Anolis sagrei: one gene and its partner. The protein of the gene in region 1 interacts with the protein of each later gene in a pairwise test. Links are inferred from orthologs where the notes say so. Each region holds a gene or a part of one and is shown in the gene's direction. Other genes may lie near its edges.

Evidence for each region.
Region 2: the proteins of ZNRD2 (region 1) and CCT3 interact in binary tests that used the Homo sapiens proteins (3 or more experiments, as listed by UniProt). The two-hybrid records come from large-scale screens. The link is inferred for Anolis sagrei from reciprocal best matches to the Homo sapiens genes ZNRD2 and CCT3.

Annotation. Positions count from the first base shown.
Region 1 is NC_090032.1:20,249,265-20,260,912, reverse strand, and holds ZNRD2 (protein ZNRD2), read left to right. Parts: upstream 1-5,988; 5' UTR 5,989-6,077; coding exon 6,078-6,096; intron 6,097-6,224; coding exon 6,225-6,376; intron 6,377-9,703; coding exon 9,704-9,788; intron 9,789-11,123; coding exon 11,124-11,524; 3' UTR 11,525-11,609; downstream 11,610-11,648. UniProt on the Homo sapiens protein: Might play a role in mitosis. Antigenic molecule. Could be a centromere-associated protein. May induce anti-centromere antibodies.
Region 2 is NC_090032.1:21,240,215-21,251,732, forward strand, and holds the start of CCT3 (T-complex protein 1 subunit gamma), read left to right. Parts: upstream 1-5,801; 5' UTR 5,802-5,902; coding exon 5,903-5,933; intron 5,934-11,518. UniProt on the Homo sapiens protein: Component of the chaperonin-containing T-complex (TRiC), a molecular chaperone complex that assists the folding of actin, tubulin and other proteins upon ATP hydrolysis.

The DNA of each region.
Region 1 (11,648 bases):
TATATACACATCCTCTCTATCTTGTGAGTGAGTGTAATCATGCAACCCCCCCCCCCCCAACACACGCATACAAATATAATATTTTTATATATATCCTTGGATAATGTGTGTGCATTCCCATCGTGGTCAACTGTGAATACGCACATATGGTAGGCGCAGAAACTACCATATGTGCAAATTCACAGGTGACCACTCAGGAAACTACGGTTACAGGTAAGCAACCTCTCTCTCTCTCTCTCTCTCTCTCTCTCTCTCTCTATATATATATATATATATATATATATATAATGTGTGTGTATAAAAGGTAAAGGTTTTCCCCTGACATTAAGTCCAGTTGTGTCCTACTCTGGAGTACTCTGAAGGTTGGTGCTCATCTCCATTTCTATTTTGAAGAGCCGGCATTGTCCATAGACACCTCCAGGGTAATGTGACCAGCATGACTGCTTGGAGCACGATTCCTGCCTGAGCAGTACCTATTGATCTACTCACATTTGCATGTTTTCAAACTGCTAGGTTGGCAATCATGCAACCCCCCCCCCAACACACGCATACAAATATAATATTTTTATATATATCCTTGGATAATGTGTGTGCATTCCCATCGTGGTCAACTGTGAATACGCACATATGGTAGGCGCAGAAACTACCATATGTGCAAATTCACAGGTGACCACTCAGGAAACTACGGTTACAGGTAAGCAACCTCTCTCTCTCTCTCTCTCTCTCTCTCTCTCTCTATATATATATATATATATATATATAATGTATGTGTATAAAAGGTAAAGGTTTTCCCCTGACATTAAGTCCAGTTGTGTCCTACTCTGGAGTACTCTGAAGGTTAGTGCTCATCTCCATTTCTACTTTGAAGAGCCGGCATTGTCCATAGACACCTCCAGGGTAATGTGACCAGCATGACTGCTTGGAGCACCATTCCTGCCTGAGCAGTACCTATTGATCTACTCACATTTGCATGTTTTCAAACTGCTAGGTTGGCAGAAGCTGGGGCTAACAGTGGGAGCTCACCCCGCTGGCCATCCAGCCTCTGCTTCACATCCATGTGGCCATGATTTGGGGGAGTTGTAGTTTACCTACATCCAGAAATCACCGATGGATCTGGACCATATGCCAAAATTAGATTCCTAGAGGGGTTTGGGTGGAACTGACCTTCCTTTGTGGGAGTTGTAGCTTACCCTACAGCCAGAGAACACATTGAACCCCGCTTATGATGCATCTAGAGTGCCATTACCTTCCTGCCAAGGCAATACCTATTCATCTACTCATATTTGCATGTTTTTGGACTGCTACATTGGCAGAAGCTGGGCCTAACAGCGGAAGCTCACCCCGCTCCCTAGAGTCAAACCACCAACCTAGTCCCACCAAGTTGTGCAGCTCAGTGTTTTAATGTTCTGCACCCGTGTGTGTATATATACATATATAGGTATGTATGTTGGGGATGGGGGTAGCATGTTGATGCAGCAGGCGTCCTTCAAAGCCTCCAGGAACTATCCACAGAGAGGCCAGACTGATTGATTCCACGTTGAGCCAACAATGTAATGCGCCGGCAAAAAAAGCCAATGGGATTTTGGCCTGCGTCAATAGGAGTCTAGTGTCTAGATCCAGGGAAGTCATGCTCCCCATGCTCTATTCTGCCTTGGTTCGACCACACCTGGAATATTGTGTCCAATTCTGGGCACCACTATTCAAGAGAGAGATTGACAAGCTGGAATGTGTCCAGAGGAGGGCGACTCAAATGATCCAGTATCTGGAGAACAAGCCCTATGAGGAGCGGCTTAAAGAGCTGGGCATGTTTAGCCTGAGGAAGAGAAGGCTGAGAGGGGACATGATAGCCATGTATAAATATGTGAGAGGAAGCCACAGGGAGGAGGGAGCAACTTGTAGACTAGGACACAATGGAGCAATGGCTTCAAACTCCAAGAAAGGAGATTCCATCTGAACATTAGGAAGAACTTCCTGAGTGTGAGAGCTGTTCAGCAGTGGAACTCTCAGCCCTGGAGAGTGGTTGAGGCTTTGAAGCAGAGGCTGGATGGCCATCTGTCGGGGGTGCTTTGAATGCAATTTTCCTGCTTCTTGGCAGAATGGGGTTGGACTGGATGGCCCAGGAGGTCTCTTCCAACTCTAGGATTCTATGATTTGAGAAATAGTTGAGGCCCAGGACACTGCAAGAGACTCAAAAGTTTAGGAAAAGAGATGCCGTCAGCAGAGGCTGGATGGCCGTTTGTCGGGAGGGTTTTGATGGTGACATCCCACCTGCCAGAAGGGAGTGGGGAGTCATACAGGATGGTCTTACCAGAAATGACAACAAACCAAGTCACTTCCTTCCCTCTTCTTTGTTGCTCCGCCTTTTTCCCCATTTTCCTGCAATGTGATTGACCAATACGCCTGCCAGTTGTCTTGGCTGTCTGGCCAACCGCAATTCCTTCCTTGCAAGTAGGTGGGACTGCCAAGTCATAGGTAAAGGTAAAGGTAGTCCCCTGACATTAAGTCCAGTCATGTCTGACTCTGGGGTGTGGTGCTCATCTCCATTTCTAAGCCGAAGAGCCAGCGTTGTCCGTAGACACCTCCAAGGTCATGTGGCCAGCATGACTGCATGCAGCGCCGTTACCTTCCCGCCGGAGCGGTACCTATTGATCTACTCACATTTGCATGTTTTCGAACTGCTAGGTTGACAGAAGCTAGGGCTGACAGCCAAGTCATATCACTCCCGTATTTGTTTGCAGCCTCTTTTTAAGATCTCTGGGAAATGAACATGTTTCAGTATCTTATAACACAAAACAAACTAAAATGGGCTGTTTCCAAGGAAATCAGAAAGTTGTGTACACGACTAGAGGTGGAAAAGACCCCAAAGGCCATCCAGTCCAACCTCTTGACATGCTTTGTCACTTTCCAGCAGTCTATTTTGATGATTTTCTTTCCCTTCCTTGACTTTGCCACATTATTTTCTTTGGTTTTACTGTCCTGGTTCTCTTTGTAACATTCTAATGGAAACCGTGCTCTTGAACTATTTTTGTCAATAAAAATAAAATGACAATAATGACAATGGTTTTGAAGTTTGTTTATTATTCTATATTATTATTATTATTATTATTATTATTATTATTTTGTGGTGTCAGAAGTCGCTTCTGGTGTGAGAGAATTGACCGTCTGCAAGGACGTTGCCCAGGGGACGTCTGGATGATTTTGATGTTTTTTCATCCTTGTGGGAGGCTTCTCTCATGTCCCCGCATGAGGAGCTGGAGCTGATAGAGGGAGCTCATCCGCCTCTCTCCGGATTCGAACCTGCAACCTGTCGGTCTTGAGTCCTGCCGGCACAGGGGTTTAACCCACTGCGCCGCCGGGGGCTCCTTATTCTATATTATGATATTCTATATATTATTTATAATATATTAAAATGCAAATATAATTTGTTATATATATCATAATATGGATGGATGGATGGATGGCATCCTTGAAGTGACTGGACTGACCTTGAAGGAGCTGGGGGTGGTGACGGCCGACAGGGAGCTCTGGCGTGGACTGGTCCATGAGGTCACGAAGAGTCAGAGACAACTGAACGAGTGAACAACAATCATAATATCAATACAGTATATATTTTATATGTATTTATACCATATATGATATGGTATGATATATATTTATACCATATATGATATAGATTATTAGAATTTATAATATAATAGACATGTTTTATTTATAATATTATACAACAATACAATACAATAAGCCTTTATTGGCATAACATGGCAGAGAGTATAAAAAATAGTACACATAATAAAAAAGGGCTTCTCGTTTGCTACACATTCAGTTTGCAGACTTCATTCAGGAATCTTGCCACTGAAAGGCAGCAGCTAAAGTCCTGGCAATTTAAAAGCAAAATCACTTTGTCAGAATTGCTGCGGTTCTTCAGTGAGTCTAAAACTTGTGTTAGCAGACTGGATCTTAGCTCCTGGTAGAGTGGACAGTGCAGGAGAATATGCGGTATGGGGTCTAGCTGTCCTGTGCTGCAGAGGCAGACCCTCTTGTCGCTCGGGAGGCCATTGAGTCTTCCTCTATGGAGCGGCGATGGCATGATGTTAAATCTAGCCAGCATGTAGGCTCTTCTGTAAGAGGGGTTGGTGAGCTCTGTGATGTAGAAGGCTGGATTTCCCTGTGTGTATGGAATTGCCAAGTTAATAGGTGAGCAGGATTTGTTTGCCAAGCTCAACAATTGGTTGTGGTCCCTATCTAGCAGCCTCCTTTTGATGAGGGTAAAAATCTCGGGAAAAGATAGTAGGGTCAGGAAATCGCTGTCGTAGCCCAATTCCCCGATCTTTGCTAGGACAGTTGAGCACCATTTGGAGTGGTGGAGTTCGCTCAAGGTGAGTTGAGTCAGAGAGTCTCTGGGACTTTGATAGTGTATAGATAGCCAAAATTTAATGACGATTAGCCAGATAGTAGCCTCAATAGAATATTGCCCAGATTCAAGACAAAGAACTGCATACGGGACACAGTTGGGGGCACCATATAGTTTGTGGAGGAATTTCGAATGAAAAGATCTCATGGCGCTGTTATTGGGGGTTAACCAGATGGGTGCTCCATAGAGAAGTTGTGACATCGCCTTTGCTTTGAAGACTTGCAGAGCTAGGGGGATATATTGATTACCCCTGGAGTGGAAGAACCTCCTGGTCGCACAGCCACATTTATAATATTATACATTTAGACCTTGAAGGAGCTGGGGGTGGTGACGACCGACGGGGAGCTCTGGCGTGGGCTGGTCCACGAAGTCATGAAGAGTCGGAAACGACTGAACAAATGAACAACAAATTATACATTTTATATATATACATACATATATATCTCGTGTCAGGAGTGACTCCTGGTGTGAGAGAATTGGCAAGGACGTTGCCCAGGGGACACCCAGATGATTTGATGTTTTTATCATCCTTGTGGGAGGCTTCTCTCATGTCCCTGCATGAGGAGCTGGAGCTGATAGAGGGAGCTCATCCGCCTCTCTCCAGATTCGAACTTGCGACCTGTCGGTCTTCAGTCCTGCCGGCACAGGGGTTTAACCCACTGCGCCACCGGGGGCTCATACATTTAATATAATATTAATAGAATGTACTTATATACATTGAAGGAGCTGGGGGTGGTGACGGCCGACAGGGAGCTCTGGCGTGGGCTGGTCCATGAGGTCACGAAGAGTCGGAGACGACTGAACGAATGAACAACAAACTTATATACAGTATATATTTTATATGTATATTATATATGATATAAATTATTAGAAATTATAATATAATAGACATATTATATATGTGTGTGTGTGTAATTTATTTATAATATATAAAATAATAATAATAATAACACTTTATTTATACCCCGCTACCATCTCCCCAAGGGACTCGGTGCGGCTTACATGAGGCCGAACCCAAACACAACAATACAAGCAATAATAACAATAAAAAGGTAAAGGTAGTCCCCTGACATTAAGTCCAGTCATGTCTGACTCTGGGATGTGGTGCTCATCTCCATTTCTAAGCCGAAGAGCCGGCGTTGTCCATAGACACCTCCAAGGTCATGTGGCCGGCATGACTGCATGGAGCGCCGTTACCTTCCCGCCGGAGCGGTACCTATTGATCTACTCACATTTGCATGTTTTCGAACTGCTAGGTTGGCAGAAGCTAGGGCTGACAGCGGAAGCTCACGCCGCTCCCCGGAATCGAACCTGCGACCTTTCGATCAACAAGCTCAGCAGCTCAGCGCTTTAACCCACTGCGCCACCGGGCACATTTCATCAGTTGGTCCCAAACTTGGCTCCAGGAACTGCGGAACTCTCCGCTGCGGTTCACACCAATTTGAAGGCGGGAGCCTCCGCCGCTCTCGGGGTCAATGGGGCTGATTTAGAGCATAGGAACGAAATTCAAGCGGAACCTTTATGTTCGCGGTGAGGTTTCCGGTGGGGACGATTAAGGAGTCGCACCTACCTCCACATAAAAAAGCCTTGCCCGGCAATGAGGTGACGACAGCGGAAGAGGCGTGGCTTAAGCCGGAAGCGGGTGGTCCAGCCTGGGCGAAACATCATGGCGCTCAACGCGGCGGGTAAGTGAGAGGGAGAGAGGAGTAACCATGGCAACGGGGCCTACTCCGGCCTGGCGAGCCAGCTTGGAAGTGGTGAGGAGGCTAGGGAGGGCCTTCCTTCCGCCCATGAACCATGGCTTCTCCCGCAGGCAACGACGACGCGGAGTGGGAGCCTCCCTCGGAGGCGGAGCTGAAGGTGATCCAGGCCCGGCGGGAGCGGCAGGACAAGATCAGCAAGCTGATGGGCGACTACCTCCTGAAGGGCTACCGCATGCTGGGCGAGTGCTGCGAGGAGTGCGGGGTGAGAGCCGAACACAGGGCAATGGGCTCCTCTGAGGATACAAAGAGGGCCAGGGCCTTTCAATTGTGGGCCTCTGAGCATGTAAAGAGTGACAAGTATTCCTGCTGCAAAAAGGGCCTCTGAGCATGTCAAGAGTGCCATGCTCTGTTGCTGCAAAAGAGGCCTCTGAGCATGTCCAGAGTGCCAGGTCCTCTTGCTGCAAAAGGAGCCTCTGAGCATGTAAGATGTTCCACAATCTTTTGCTCCAAATGTGGGCCTCTGAGCATGTAAAGAGTGACAAGTATTCCTGCTGCAAAAAGGGCCTCTGAGCATGTCCAGAGTGCCAGGTCCTCTTGCTGCAAAAAAGGCCTCTGAGCATGTAAGAAGTTCCATGACATTGTGCTCCAAATGTGGACCTCTGAGCATGTAAAGAGTGACAAGTATTCCTGCTGCAAAAAGGGCCTCTGAGCATGTCCAGAGTGCCAGGTCCTCTTGCTGCAAAAAAGGCCTCTGAGCATGTAAGAAGTTCCATGACATTGTGCTCCAAATGTGGGCCTCTGAGCATGTAAAGAGTGACAAGTCTTCCTGCTGCAAAAAGGGTCTCTGGGCATGTCCAGAGTGCCAGGTCCTCTTGCTGCAAAAGGCGTCTCTGAGCATGTAAGAAGTTCCATGACATTTTGCTCCAAATGTGGGCTTCTGAACATGTAAAGAGTGACAAGTCTTCTCGCTGCAAAAAAGGGCCTCTGAGCATGTCCAGAGTGCCAGGCCTTCTTGCTGCAGAAATGGCCCCTGAGCATGTAAGAAGTTCCACAATCTTTTGCTCCAAATGTGGGCCTCTGAGCATGTCCAGAGTGACAAGTCTCACTGCAAAAAGGGCCTTTGAGCATGTCCAGAGTGCCAGGCCTTCTTGCTGCAAAAGTGGCCCCTGAGCATGTAAAGAGTGCCGAGCCCTTTCGCTGCAAACATGTCCTATGAGGATGTAAAGAGTTCCATGACTTTTTGCTGCAAAGGGCCCTCTGAACATGTAAAGAGTGCCATGCTCTGTTGCTGCAAAAGAAGCCTTTGAGCATGCCCAGAGTGCCAGACGTGCTGCAAGGAGAACTTCTGAGCAAGTAAAGAATTCAATTACCTTTACATCCTGAGCATATTAGAGTGGCAGGCCCCTTTGCATCAAAGGGGCCTCTGAACATGTAAAGAGTGCTAGATCCTTTTGGTACAAAGGGGGCCTCTGAGCATGTAAAGAGTGCCATGCCCTTTCGCTCCAAATGTGGGCCTCTGAGAATGTAAAGAGTGACAAGTCTTCTCACTGCAAAAAGGGCCTTTGAGCATGTCCAGAGTGTCAGATTTTTGCTGCAGAGAAGGCTTCTGAGCATGTAAAGAGTTACCATGACATTTTGCTCCAAATGTGGGCCTCTGAGCATGCAAAGAGTGCCGAGCCCTTTCATTGCAAAAGGGGCCTTTGAGCATGTCCAGAGTGCCAGGCCTTCTTGCTGCAGAAGTGGCCCCTGAGCATGTAAAAAGTTCAACAATCTTTTGCTCCAAATGTGGGCCTCTGAGCATGTAAAGAGTGCCATGCTCTGTTGCTGCAAAAGGAGCCTCTGAGCATGTCCAGAGTGCCAGGCCTTCTTGCTGCAAAAGGGGCCCCTGAGCATGTAAGAAGTTCAACAGGCTTTTGCTCCAAATGTGGACCTCTGAGCATGCAAAGAGTGCCAGGCCCTTTTGCTCCAAATGTGGCCCCTGAGCATGTAAGAAGTTCAACAAACTTTTGCTCCAAATATGGGCCTCTGAGCATATAAAGAGTGCCGAGCCCTTTCGCTGCAAACCTGCCCTATGAGGATGTAAAGAGTTCCATGACTTTTTGCTGCAAAGAGGGCCTCTGAGCATGTAAAGAGTGCCATGCTCTGTTGCTGCAAAAGGAGCCTTTGAGCATGTCCAGAGTGCCAGACTTGTTGCAAAGAGAGCCTCTGAGCATGTAAAGTATTCAGTTACCTTTTATTGCAAAGGGGGCCTCTGAGTATATCATAGTGGCAGGCCCTTTTGCAGCAACAGGGGCCTCTGAGCATGTAAAAAGTTCCATGACATTTTGCTCCAAACGTGGGCCTCTGAATATGTAAAGAGTGCTGAGCCCTTCCACTACAACCGTGTCCTATGAGGATGTAAAGAGTTCCATGACAGAGTGGCAGTCCCATTTGTAGGAAAGGGTCCTCTGAGCATGCAAAGAGTGCCATGTCCTGTTGCTGCAAAGGGAGCCTTTGAGCAAGTCCAGAGTCCCAGACTTTTGCTGCAAAGAGGGCCTCTGAGCATGCAAAGAGTGCCAGGCCTCACAGCCTCTCAGGATGCTTGCTATAGATCCAGGCGAAACATCAGGAGAGAATGCTTCTAGAACATGGCCCTATACCCCGAAAACCTACAACAACCCAGTGTCATGAGCTTTTGCTGCAAAAGGAGCATTTGAGCATGTCCAGAGTGCCAGGCTCTCTTGCTGCAAAAGGGGTCTCTGAGCATGTAAAAGGTTCCATGACATTTTGCTCCAAATGTGGGCCTCTGAGCATGTAAAGAGTGCCGAGCCCTTTCACTGCAAACGTGTCCTATGAGGATATCAAGAGTTCCATGACTACTTGCTGCAAAAGGGGCCTCTGAGTATGACAGAGTGGCAGGCCCATTTGCAGAAAAGGGTCCTCTGAGCATGTAAAGAGTGCTATGAGCTTTTGCTGCAAATGGAGCCTTTGAGCATGTCCAGAGTGCTGCAAAGAGTGCCTCTGAGCATGTAAAAAGTTCCAAGACCTTATTGCTCCAAGTGTGGGCCTCTGAGCATGTGTTTATTTATTTTACAATACTGTGTTTATGACATTTATATGTCACCCTTCTCAGAGCGGCTTACAAGATATCTATACATACAATAGATTATATTATTAGCATAGCACAATATCAGTACTATATATTACTATATTGTACTATACTATTATATTGTAATATTATAAGTAATATTGCATGTAATATAAAATATATAATTATAATACTGTATTATTATTAGTTTTATATTGCATTACATTATATTACAGATGTTATATGTATATACAATATATTATATTATATTGTGTGTAAAGAATTCCATGACTTTTTCTTGCAAAAGGGGCCTCTGAACATGTAAAGAGTGCCAGATCCTTTTGGTACAAGGGGGGGGGGGCTGAGCATGTCCAGAATGTTCTTTTACCTTCCCAAGCAAGTAAGAGCTCTTTGGCCTTTCCCCCTCTTTTCCGTCCTGATTTTTGCAGGCGTTGCGTTCTTTATTTCCCAGCTCTAACTCTTTCTTTCCTTGGCTCTCCTTTGCGACATTTTCCCTTCCAGACTATTTTGCTGCAAGACAAGCAGAAGAAACTCTACTGCGTCGCCTGCCAGGAACTCAACTCTGACGTCGACAAGGACAATCCGGGTGAGGCTCAAGAACTGGCTAACATCTTCGTTATGTCTTCAGGGTAATCCTCTGTCAGGAGGGTTTGGCTGGTGTCTCCCTTCCAATTCTGTGATTTATTGATTTATTCTTTTCGTCTTTGGGGATGGCCATCTGTCGGGAGGGCTTGACTGGTGTCTCCCTTCCAATACTGTGATTTATTGATTTATTCTTTGTGTCTTTGGGGATGGCCATCTGTCGGGAGGGCTTGGCTGGTGTCTCCCTTCCAATACTGTGATTTATTGATTTATTCTTTGTGTTTTTGGGGATGGCCATCTGTCGGGAGGGCTTGGCTGGTGTCTCTCTTCCAATACGGTGATTTATTGATTTATTCTTTGCTTCTTTGGGAATAGGCATCTGTCGGGAGGGCTTGACTGGTGTCTCCCTTCCCCCTTGGGGTCCCAATTCTATGATTTATTGATTTATTCTTTGTGTCTTTGGGGATGGCCATCTGTCGGCAACTTGGCTGGTGTGTCCTTTCCCCGTTGGGGTCCCTTCCAATTCACCTTTATCTGGTGGTAAGGTCAAGAGAAATGCTTTCCTTTCTGTTTTGGGATTTGAAAAAAAACTTTATATTGATTCATGGGAAAGAGTTGCCTCATTTGGGTCAACGTTGGAATTTCATCACGGTCTTGCTTTCAAGTGCTCTTAGTTTCATGTATCAAGTTGTTGCCAAGCTCCTGATTTGTCTATTGGATTTTTCATGCTGCCTTGTTTCATGGATTTGTGTGCTTGATTCATGGATTTTTATACCTATGGATCTTGTTTTGACTAGATCTGTGGCAAGCATCCTCAGAGGTTGTGAGGTCAGACCTCTGAGGATGCTTGCCATAGATGCAGGTGAAACGTCAGGAGAGAATGCTTCTAGAACATGGCCATATAGCCCAAAAAAATTATTTATTCATTTGTCTCCTGTCCTATGCTAATATATAATAAATATAATATAATATAGTATAATATATTGTATATACATATAATATTTGTAATATTATAATGTAATACAGTATTTATTCATTTGTCTTCTGTTCTATGCTAATATATAATAAATATAATATAACATAGTAAAATATATTGTATATACATATAATATTTATAATATTATAGTGTAATACAGTATTTATTTATTCACTTGTCTCCTGTGCTATACTAATATATAATAAATATAATATAATATATTGTATATACATATAATATTTATAATATTATAATGTAATACAGTATAATACTAATAATAATAATGATATGATAAGTATATATTTTATATTACATGTCCCTTATATTTTGTGTCCCTCGTGACGGTTCTGCTTCTCTTTCCAGCCCTGAATGCCCAGGCTGCCCTGTCCCAAGTGCGGGAGCGCCAACTGGCCACCAACGCTGAGGACAACAACGTTTGCCCCGCTGCCGCATACCTGTCCGCACTTCCCGTGCGCCACGTCCCGCGCCCGGAGCACTGCGAAGGAGCGGCTGCGGGACTCCGGGCTTCGGCCCCTGCGCCGTTGCTGCTCCCGGGCCCGGCGGCAGCGGCAACGATGGCGGCGCCTTGTCCGGCGGCCCCACTCGGTGCGCTGACCCTGGCGGAGGAGGCCATCTTGCAGAAGATCGCCTGGGCGGGACAGGAGCTGCGGCACAGCGCCTCCGTGGAGGCCAGCATCCAGCTCTGCGCCCTCATCCGTTCCTGCACAGAGTCCCTCAAGAGCCTCAAGGAGCTGCAGCAGTGAGCGCCCGGTCACCGACTCTCCGCCCTTTCCAACAAGACTCTGCTCATCCTTCCCATTAAAATGTGTGCTTGTGGTTTCACGCGGAGTTTGCCTCGGTCCCGTCTGTTCCGTCCCTCTATTGTGT
Region 2 (11,518 bases), about 990 kb from region 1:
TTATACCATCATGTAAACAAGAATATTTTTGTCATGGAAAGTACTTTGACCTTTGCTCTTCCTGTCCCATCAACCTCTTGATGGAAAGTACCTTCTTGTACCTGCAGACTTTGCGCTTAACCACAAACCAACTTCCTATGTAAGCTTGAACTTTGTATGACCTCTATATGTCACCTCTTGTTTTTTAAAACATTTTCTTTTGTGCTGCTCCTTTTCTACAGGGAAGGGGTACATTGCTCTTCCTATCCCATCAACCTCTTGATGGAAAGTACCTTCTCACACCTGCAGACTTTGCACTTAACCACAAACCAACTTCCTATGTAAGCTTGAACTTTGTATGACCTCTACATGTCACCTCTTGTTTTTTAAAACATTTTCCTTCATGCTGTTCCTTTTCTACAGGGAAGGGGTACATTGCTCTTCCTGTCCCATCAACCTCTTGATGGAAAGTACCTTCTCACACTTGCAGACTTTGCACTTAACCACAAACCAACTTCCTATGTAAGCTTGAACTTTGTATAACCTCTACATGTCACCTCTTGTTTTTTTAAAATATTTTCCTTCGTGCTGCTCCTTTTCTACAGGGAAGGGGTACATTGCTCTTCCTGTCCCATCAACCTCTTGATGGAGAGTACCTTCTCACACCTGCAGACTTTGCACTTAACCACAAACCAACTTCCTATGTAAGCTTGAACTTTGTACGACCTCTACATGTCACCTCTTGTTTTTTTTAAACATTTTCCTTCATGCTGCTCCTTTTCTACAGGGAAGGGGTATATTGCTCTTCCTGTCCCATCAGCCTCTTGATGGAAAGTTCCTTCTCACACATGCAGATTTTGCGCTTAACCACAAACCAACTTCCCATTTAAGTTTGAACTTTATATGACCTGTACATGTCACCTCTTGTTTTTTTAAAATATTTTCCATCGTGCTGCTCCTTTTCTACAGGGAAGGGGTACATTGCTCTTCCTGTCCCATCAACCTCTTGATGGAGAGTACCTTCTCACACCTGCAGACTTTGTGCTTAACCACAAACCAACTTCCTATGTAAGCTTGAACTTTGTATGACCTCTACATGTCACCTCTTGTTTTTTAAAACATTTTCCTTCGTGCTGCTCCTTTTCTACAGGGAAGGGGTATATTGCTCTTCCTGTCCCATCAGCCTCTTGATGGAGAGTACCTTCTCACACCTGCAGACTTTGCACTTAACCACAAACCAACTTCCTATGTAAGCTTGAACTTTGTATAACCTCTACATGTCACCTCCTGTTTTTTTAAAAACATTTTCTTTTGTGTTGCTCCTTTTCTACAGGGAAAGGGTACACAGTGGATCTGGCCACAGTGGTCCACACTCTTGTTACATCCCGAATAGATTACTGCAACGCACTCTACATGGGGTTGTTTTTGAAGACTGTTCAGAAACTTCAATTAGTCCAGCGGGAGGCAGCCAGATTACTCACCGGAGCATCATACAGGGAGCATACCATCCCTCTGTTATGTCAGCTCCACTGGCTGCCAATCCAGTTCCGAGCACAATTCAAAGTGCTGGTTTTGACCTACAAAACCCTATACGGTTCCGGCCCAGTGTATCTGTCCGAACGCATCTCCCTTTACGACTCGGAGTTTAAGATCTTCTGGTGAGGCCCTGCTCTCAGCCCCGCCTCTATCACAAGTGAGACTGTCGGGGACGAGGAGCAGGACCTTCTCGGTGGTGGCCCCTCACCTGTGGAATTCACTCCCCGGGGAAATTAGATCATCGACAACCCTCCTTTCCTTTAGAAGGAAACTAAAAACGTGGATTTGGGACCAGGCGTTTGGGCAATCCGGCAGATAAATAAAAGACGATGACGACTGATAGGAATGGACAAGGTGGAACTAATTTATGGACTCTGAGTTGGCGAACGTTGAGCATGAGATTGATTTTTTATTGATTGTGAATATAATTGTTTTTAACTGTTATAATTGTTTTAATTGTTGTTTATATATGTTTATCTGTATTATTGTGTAGGCATCAAATTGTGCCTTTTGTAAGCCGCCCTGAGTCCCCCCTCGGGGGTTGAGAAGGGCGGGGTAGAAATATGTGAAATAAATAAATAAATATACATTGCTCTTCCTGTCCCATCAACTTCTTGATGAAAAGTACCTTCTCGCACCTGCAGACTTTGCGCTTAACCACAAACCAACTTCCCATTTAAGCTTGAACTTTGTATTCATTTGGGGATTGTAGTTGCTGGGATTTATAGTTCACCTAAAATCAAAGAGCATTCTGAACTCCACTAACGATAGAATTGAACCAAGCTTGGTACACAGAACTCTCATGACCAACAAAAAATACTGGGTTTGGTGGCCATTGACCTTGAGTTTGGGAGTCGTAGTTCACCTACATCCAGAGACTCAAACGATGATAGATCTGGACCAAACTTGGCACAAATAATCAATATGATCAAATGTGAACACTGGTGGAGTTTGGGGGAAAACAGACCTTGACATTTGGGGATTGTAGTTGCTGGGATTTATAGTTCACCTAAAATCAAAGAGCATTCTGAACTCCATCAATGATAGAATTGAACCAATCTTGGCACACAAAACTCCCATGAGCAACGGAAAATACTGGAAGGGTTTCGTGGGCTTTGACCTTGAGTTTTGGATTTGTAGTTCACCTACATCCAGAGAGCACTGTGGACTCAAACAATAATGGATCTGGTGGAGGAAACACATGTCCCTGAAAGAAAGCCTTCCCTTGGGTGGTGGGCAGTGTTGGTGGAGGACATCGACAGGGCTGTTGGACCTGTTTACACTGTGATGTCTATGGTGGAGGGAACACATACAATCTAGGATGGAATCGTCCCCGAATGAAAGCCTTCCCTTGGGTGGTGGGCAGTCCGGTGTTGGTGGAGGACATTGGCAGGGCTCTTGGACCTGTTTACACTGTGATGTCTCTGGTGGAGGAAACACATACAATCTAGGATGGAATTTTCCCGGTGTGAAAGCCTTCCCTTGGGTGGTGGGCAGTCCAGTGTTGGTGGAGGACATTGGCAGGGCTCTTGGACATGTTTACACTGTGGTGTCTGTGGTGGAGGAAACACATACAATCTAGGATGGAATTGTCCCCGAAGGAAAGCCTTCCCTTGGGTGGTGGGCAGTCTGGTGTTGGTGGGGGACATTGGCAGGGCTCTTGGACATGTTCATGGTGCTCGCTATGACCTGCAATGTCACTGGAGGGAGGGCTTTTGTTGTCTCCTGAGTAGTGGGAACTATAGCTCTTTGTGGAGGCAGGAGCTTGTCTGTGTAAGTGGGCACCCCAGTCACATATATATTTTCACTTTTATTATGTGTACTGATAAGTCATAGTCCAAACTGCCTGGGTCAGGCCATTGAGTCATTGAAGAGTCATAGGTTGTAATAATTGAAATCTGTGATATTTGTTTAACTATATTTACTAATAATAATTTATGTGATATTTGGGTTGTTGTAAGTTTTTCGGGTTGTCTGACCCTGTTCCAGAAGCATTCTCTCCTGACGTTTCGCCTGGATCCATGGCAGGTTGTGTCTGTATATTCTGCAATAACAATTTAAGTGCCCAAGTTGGCCCATGCCTGGTCTAGGTAAAGGTTTTCCCCTGACATTAAGTCCCGTCGGGACCGACTATGCGACTTTGGTGCTCATCTCCATTTCTAAACCGAAGAGTTGGCACTATCCGTAGACACCTCCAAGGTCATGTGGCCAGCATGATTGCATGGAGCGCTGTTACCTTCCCGTCGGAGCAATATCTATTGATCTACTCACATGTGCATGCTTTCAAACTACTAGGTTGGCAGAAGCTGGGGCTAACAGCAGAAGCTCACCCCGCAACCCAGATTCGAATCATCAACCTTTCAGTCAGCAAGTTCAGCAGGTCAGCACTTTAACCCACTGCTCCACTGGGGGCTCCTAATATTATTATTCTTACTATTATTATTATATTTCTTACCTGCTCCCCCCTAAGGCTTCAAACTATTAGTAGTAGCAGTATTAATGATATTACTTTATTATTATTATATTTCTTACCTATTCCTCCCTAAGGCTTCAAACTATTAGTAGTAGTAGTATTAATAATATTACTTTATTATTATTATTATATTTCTTACCTGCTCCTCCCTAAAGCTTCAGGCTATTAGTAGTAGTATTAATGATATTTATTATTATTACCATTTTCTTATTATATTTCTTACCTGCTCCTCCCTAAGGCTTCAGGCTATTATTATTATTATTTTATTATTATTAATATTATTATTATAATCTAACCCACTGTGCCACCGGGGGCTTCACAGCTGGTCTACACAGCTATATAATCTAGTTCAAACCTGGATTTTACTCCATGGCAGTGTGGAATCCAGATTATCTGCTCTGAACTGGATTATCTGGCAGTGCAGACTCACATAACCCAGTTCAGAGCAGATTATGTGGAGGATGTGCTCTGATAACCTGGATTCAATGGCAGGGTTCAAGAGGCCTGCTAGGAACTGCCTCCCTTCAACCAAAGCAGGCTCAGGAGGGCCGCAAACTACAGCTCCCATCATGCCCCGCGCGGAAGGGGCGTGGCCTAGGCCTGGGCATGACTCAGCCGCCATTGAGACTCCAACGGACAGGAGACACGGAGGACTACAAATCCCATCTGGCCAATGGGGTGCCAAATGTTGTCTCTGGGGGGTTTCTCCCCCAAAAAACTCGCCTCTGGGGGAACGCCGGGCCGGAGGGCGTGAAGGCTCCATCTAGCAACCGCTGACTAAAACCGCGCAGGCGCATTAGCAACGCTTTCCCTTCTGCGCAGGCGCATTAGCCGCCCTTTCTCTGCGAAAACTAGCCACTCTTTCCCTTCTGCGCAGGCGCATTAGCAACTCTTTCTCTTCTGCGCAGGCGCATTATAAGCCTTTTGTTGCCGCTTAAACTACTTAGCAGTCCTTTCCCTTCTGCGCAGGCGCATTAGCAGCCTTTTCACTTCCGTGTAGGCTATTTAGCAGCCATTTCCCTTCCGCGCAGGCGCATTAGGAACTCTTTTCCTTCTGCGCAGGCGTATTAGCAACTCTTTAGCTCCTGCATAGTCTACTTAGCAGCCTTTTCCCTTCTGCGCAGGCGCATTAGCAACTCTTTTGCTTCTGCTTAAACCTTAGCCGCCCTTTCTCTTCTGCGCAAGCGCATTAGAAGCCTTTTCATTTCTGCGTAAGCTACTTAGCAGCGCTTTCCCTTCTGCGCAGGCGCATTAGCAACTCTTTCTCTTACGCGCAGCCGCATTAGAAATCTTTTGTTTCTGCTTAAGCTACTTAGCCGCCCTTTCCCTTCTGCGCAGGCGCAATAGCAGCCTTTTGGCTTCAGTGTAGGCTACTTAGCAGCCCTTTCCCTTCTGCGCAGGCGCATTAGCAGCCCTGTCGCTTCAGTGTAGGCTTAGCAGCTCTTTCCCTTCTGCGCAGGCGCATTAGCAGCCTTTTCGCTTCAGTGTATACTACTTAGCAGCCCTTTCCTTTCTGCGCAGGCGCATTAGCAGCCCTGTCGCTTCAGTGTAGGCTTAGCAGCTCTTTCCCTTCTGCGCAGGCGCATTAGCAGCCTTGCGTTTTTCCTTCCCCGTCTCCTCAACGCATGCGCATGTGTGGAAGAGGACTCCGCGCACGCGCATTACTCCCCCTCCCTTCATTCTTCACAACCGTGCGGCCCGTTGTCCCTCTCAACCTACCATGCTGGGGAAGTAGGCGTGGCCGTTATGAGGAGACGCGTTTTCCTATTGGCGCAGAGCCGGAGAGAGAGGCCTCTGATTGGCGGAGTGCCCCAGCGGGCGAGTTAGGCTGCGCGGGGCGCGGTGAAACGGCGCTTTCCCGTCCCCTCCTCCTTTCTTTCCTCCAGAAGGTTCCGCGGCGACGTGAGGGAAAAGATGCTGGGCCAGCGCCCCGTCCTGGTGCTCAGTAAGTCCGGGGAAACCGAGGAGGGAGGAAGGAGGGAAGAAAACCCCCTCGGGGGGCTATTTTCCCCTGACGCGTGTCTTCTTTTGCACGTGTGAATGCCTCTTTAAGCCGGGCAGGGGCCTCCCAATGGGCCTGGCGGGGTTTCCTCACCCAGGAGGGCCTCAAGCTCTGTTCTGCTCCATTCTTGCTCCAAATTATGGCCCAGATCTGTAGTTCTGCTTTGTCAGTCTCCCACCCAAGATACTCGCCAGGGCTGGCCCTGCTTAGCAGCCAAGATCAGGCAGGATTGGGTGCTTTGGGGGGCAGTTGAGGAGAGAGAAGGTGTTACAACAGCAAAACAACAAAGGCTAAACAATCAGGCACATCTAATCGCCTCTCAACAAAAGATTCCCCCAGGCACTTCCAAGCAATTAAATGCTAATTAATTTGTGGGTGAACTATAATTCCCAAACCCTTCCAGTTTTTTCTGTTGGCCATGGGAGCCCTGTGTGCTAAGTTTGGCCCAATTCCATCGTTGGTGGAGTTCAGAATGCTCTTTGATTGTAAGTGAACTATAAATCCCAGCAACTACAACTCCCAAATCTCAAGATTCTATTTTCCCCAAACTCCACCAGTGTTCACATTTGGGCATATTGAGTATTCTTGTACAGTTTGGTCCAGATCCATCATTGTTCGAGTCCACAGTGATCTCTGGATGTAGGTGAACTACAACTCCCAAACTCAACGTGAATGCCCACCAAACCCTTCCAGTATTTTCTTGGTCATGGGAGAACTGTGTGCCAAGTTTGGCCCAATTCCATCGTTGGTGGAGTTCAGAATGCTCTTTGATTGTAGGTAAACTATAAATCCCAGCAACGACAATTCCCAAATGACAGAATCATTTTTTTTGAGTGAAAGACATACATTGGGTTATAGCAGGTATCTTGTGTCCAAATTTGGTGTCAATTCATCCAGTGGTTTTTGAGATTTGTTAATCCCACAAATGAACATTACATTTTTATTTATATAGATTGCACTATACCATTATATTGTAATATTATTAATAATGTTACATGTAATGTAAACATATAATTATAATTATAATATTGTATTATTATTACTAGTATTATATTGCATTACATTATAATATTATAAATATTATATATATACACACACACACACAATATACTATATTATTTGTAGCCAGCTTTTGTTCATTTTCATGGTTTCCTCCTTTCTGTTGAAATTTAAAATATTACAAAAAACTCTAAAATTACAACAGCAAAACAACAGAGAGTAAACAATCAGGCACATCGAATCACCTCTCAACAAAAGATTCCTCCAGGCACTTCCAAGCCATTAAATGCTAATCAAGGTGGTCAGTTGAAACACATAGCTCCAGCAGACAAGAGTCCTTTGTCCCACCCTGGTCATTCCACAAATATATAAACCCTTTTTCCTAGTTCCAACAGACCTCACTACCTCTGAGGATGCTTGCCATAGATGCAGGCGAAACGTCAGGGGAGAATGCCTCTAGACCATGGCCATACAACCCGGAAAAACCCACAACAACCCAGACATCTAATCACCTCTCAACAAAAGGTTGCCCCAGGCACTTCCAAGCCATTAAGCGACTAAAATGATAAAAGGTCTGGAGAACAAGCCCTATGAGGAGCGGCTCAAGGAGCTGGGCATGTTTAGCCTGAAGAAGAGAAGGCTGAGAGGAGATATGATGATAGCCATGTATAAATATGTGAGAGGAAGCCACAGGGAGGAGGAGGGAGCAAGCTTGTTTACTGCTTCCCTGGAGATTAGGACAAGGAACAATGGCTTCAAACTCCAAGAGAGGAGATTCCATCTGAACATGAGGAAGAACTTCCTGACTGTGAGAGCCGTTCAGCAGTGGAACTCTCTGCCCCGGAGTGTGGTGGAGGCTCCTTCTTTGGAAGCTTTTAAGCAGAGGCTGGATGGCCATCTGTCAGGGGTGATTTGAATGCAATATTCCTGCTTCTTGGCAGAATGGGGTTGGACTGGATGGCCCATGAGGTCTCTTCCAACTCTTTGATTCTATGATTCTATGATTAAATGCTAATCAAGGTGGTCAGTTGAAACATTCCCACCTAGCTCCAGCAGACAAGAGTCCTTTGTCCCACCCTGGTCATTCCACAGATATATAAACCCCTTTTCCTACTTCCAACAGACCTCACAACCTCTGAGGATGCTTGCCATAGATGTAGGTGAAAGGTCAGGAGAGAATGCCTCTAGACCATGGCCATACAGCCCGGAAAAACCTACAACAACCCAGACATCTAATCACCTCTTAACAAAAGATTTCCCCAGGCACTGCCAATCCTTTCCTGGTGATTCAAATATAATAATATATTGAATATACATGTCATATTGATACTATTATAGTGTGACACAATATACTACTACAATAATAAAATGATATTATAATCATATTTTTATATTAAATGTAATATTGCTAATAATAATAACAACAGTATAATGTTATAGTACAATGTAATATATAATATTGTGCTATGATAATAATAAAAATAATAATATATTATTATCGAAGGCTTGTTTTGTCGAAGGCTTTCATGGCCAGAATCACTGGGTTGTTGTAGGTTTTTTCGGGCTATATGGCCATGTTCCAGAGGCATTCTCTCCTGACGTTTCGCCTGCATCTATGGCAAGCATCCTCAGAGGTCGTGAGGTCTGTTGGAACTAGTAAAGTGGGTTTATATATCTGTGGAATGGCCAGGGTGGGACAAAGGACTCTTGTCTGCTGGAGCTAGGTGTGAATGTTTCAACTAACCACATTGATTAGCATTTGGTGGCCTGGCAGTGCCTGGGGAAATCTTTTGTTGAGAGGTGATTAGATGTCTGGGTTGTTGTAGGTTTTTCTGGGCTATATGGCCATGGTCTAGAGAGGCATTCTCTCCTGACGTTTTGCCTGCATCTATGGCAAGCATCCTCAGAGGTAGTGAGGTCTGTTGGAACTAGGAAAAAAAGGGGTTTATATATCTGTGGAATGACCAGGGTGGGACAAAGGACTCTTGTCTGCTGGAGCTAGGTGTGAATGTTTCAACTGACCACCTTGATTAGCATTTGATGGCCCGGCAGTGCCTGGGGAAATCTTTTGTTGAGAGGTGATTAGATGTATGGGTTGTTGTAGGTTTTTCTGGGCTGTATGGCCATGTTCTAGAGGCATTCCCTCCTGACGTTTCGCCTGCATCTATGGCAAGCATCCTCAGAGGTAGTGAGGTCTGTTGGAAGTAGGAAAATGGGTTTATATATCTGTGGAATGACTGGGGTGGGACAAAGGACTCTTGTCTGCTGGAGCTAGGTGTGTATGTTTCAACTGACCACCTTGATTAGCATTTGATGGCTTGGCAGTGCCTGGAGCAATTTTTTGTTGAGAGATGATTCGATGTGCCTGATTGTTTACTCTCTTGTAATTTTAGAGTTTTTTAATATTTTAAATTTCAACAGAAAGGAGGAAACCATGAAAATGAACAAAATCTGGCTACCAATATTAAAAAAACTAAAATTACAACAAATTGGGACATGATGCAGGGAATGGTTGGTATTTCTATAAAACACATATTAAAATACACAAAACAAAATACACGTTTTCCTACGTCTTTCCCTGCTCATATTTATTTACATTTATTAAATAGTCCAGTGTATTTTCGGTTGTCTTTGTTCCACTTCTCTATTGTCCGGCGTCTTGTCTACATCATTAAATAACCTGGTGCGCTTTCCAGAATTAATACAGGTTTTGTATGTTGTTTTCCCTTTCTATGCCTTTTGCTAAATGGAAGTTTTGATTTTGCATATCCAAAAAGGGTTTTTGTTCTATTCTTCCTCAAGTTCTATTCTTCTTTCTTGTCGTGCCTCCCTTCCATTCATAAAGGCAGAATCAGAGGGAGATTTGAATGGATTTGTGGGAGGAGAGAAAGAGCAGAGGAAATGGCCTAATATGGATGTCAGATTCCTCAAGTGGAACAACACATGTTTGTGACAGATAAAGATGTGAGTCAGGAAGATTTTACACAAGCAAAGTGTCATTTTTTTTTGAAGGACGGTGGAGTCCTTCAAGTTAAACTTTCTTTGCAAGCATAAATATTAAGATAAGTAAGGCAAGGGCTCAGTTTCCCATAGAGCAGTGGTTCATCAACCTGTGGGTCCCCAGATGTCTTGGCCTTCGACTCCCAGAAATCTGGTGAACTGTATTGCCGAAGGCTCTCATGGCTGGAATCACTAGGTTCTTGTGGGTTTTTTCGGGCTATAGGGCCATGTTCCAGAGGCATTCTCTCCTGACGTTTCGCCTGCATCTATGGCAAGCATCCTCAGAGGTAGTGAGGTCTGTTGGAATTAGGACAATGGGTTTATATATCTGTGGAATGGCTGGGGTGGGGCAAAGAGGGACAGGGCCTTCTCTGTGGTGGCCCCTCGGCTGTGGGATGCCCTTCCCATGGACATTAGATCAGCCCCTTCCCTAATGGTGTTTCGAAGAAAACAAAAACCTGGCTGTTTGAACAGGCGTTCGGATAAATAGTGCAATGAACACGATGAATATAGGAAACGGAATTATGGATGACAAATTGGATCACGATTTTAGTTACGAGATGTTAATGTGTTGTTATTGAGATGTCATTAGTTTGTATTTTATACTGTTAATGGTTTTAATATTGTATGTTGTTGGACTGACTTTTGCTCTTGTTGTGAACCGCGTTGGGTCGCCTACGGGCTGAGAAACTGCGGTATACAAGCAAAGTAAATAAATAAATAAATGAAGAGCTCTTCTCTGCTGGAGCTGGGTGTGAATGTTTCAACTGACCACCTTCATTAGCATTTGAAGGCCTGGCTGAGCCTGGGAAAATCTTTTGTTGAGAGGTGTTAAGATGCGCCTGGTTGTTTCCTCTCTGCTGTTTTGCTGTTGTAATTTTAGAGTTTTTTAATACTGGTAGCCAACTGAAGGTGGTCAGTTGAATGAAACATTCACACCTAGCTCCAGCAGAGAAGAGCTCTTTGCCCCACCCCAGCCATTCCACAGATATATAAACCCATTGTCCTACTTCCAACAGACCTCACTACGTCTGAGGACGCTTGCCATAGATGCAGGCGAAACGTCAGGAGAAATGCCTCTAGACCAGTGGTTCTCAACCTTCCTAATACCGCGACCCCTTAATCCAGTCCCTCATGTTGTGGTGACCCCCAACCATAACATTATTTTTGTTGCTACTTCATTACTGTAATTTTGCTCCTGTTATAAATTGTCATGTAAATATCTGATATGCAGGATGTACTTGCATTCACAAACACCCGATACACCCAAATTGAATACTGGTGGGATTGGGCAAGGGGATTGATTTTGTCATTTGGGAGTTGTAGTTGCTGGGATTTATAGTTCACCTACAATCAAAGAGTATTCCAAACTCCACCAGCAATAGAATTGGGCCAATCTTTCCACACAGAGCTCCCATGCCCAACAGAAAATATTGGAAGGGTTTGGTGGGCATTGACCTTGAGTTTGGGAGTTGTAGTTCACCTACATCCAGAGAGCACTGTGGACTCAAACAATTATGGCTCTGAAC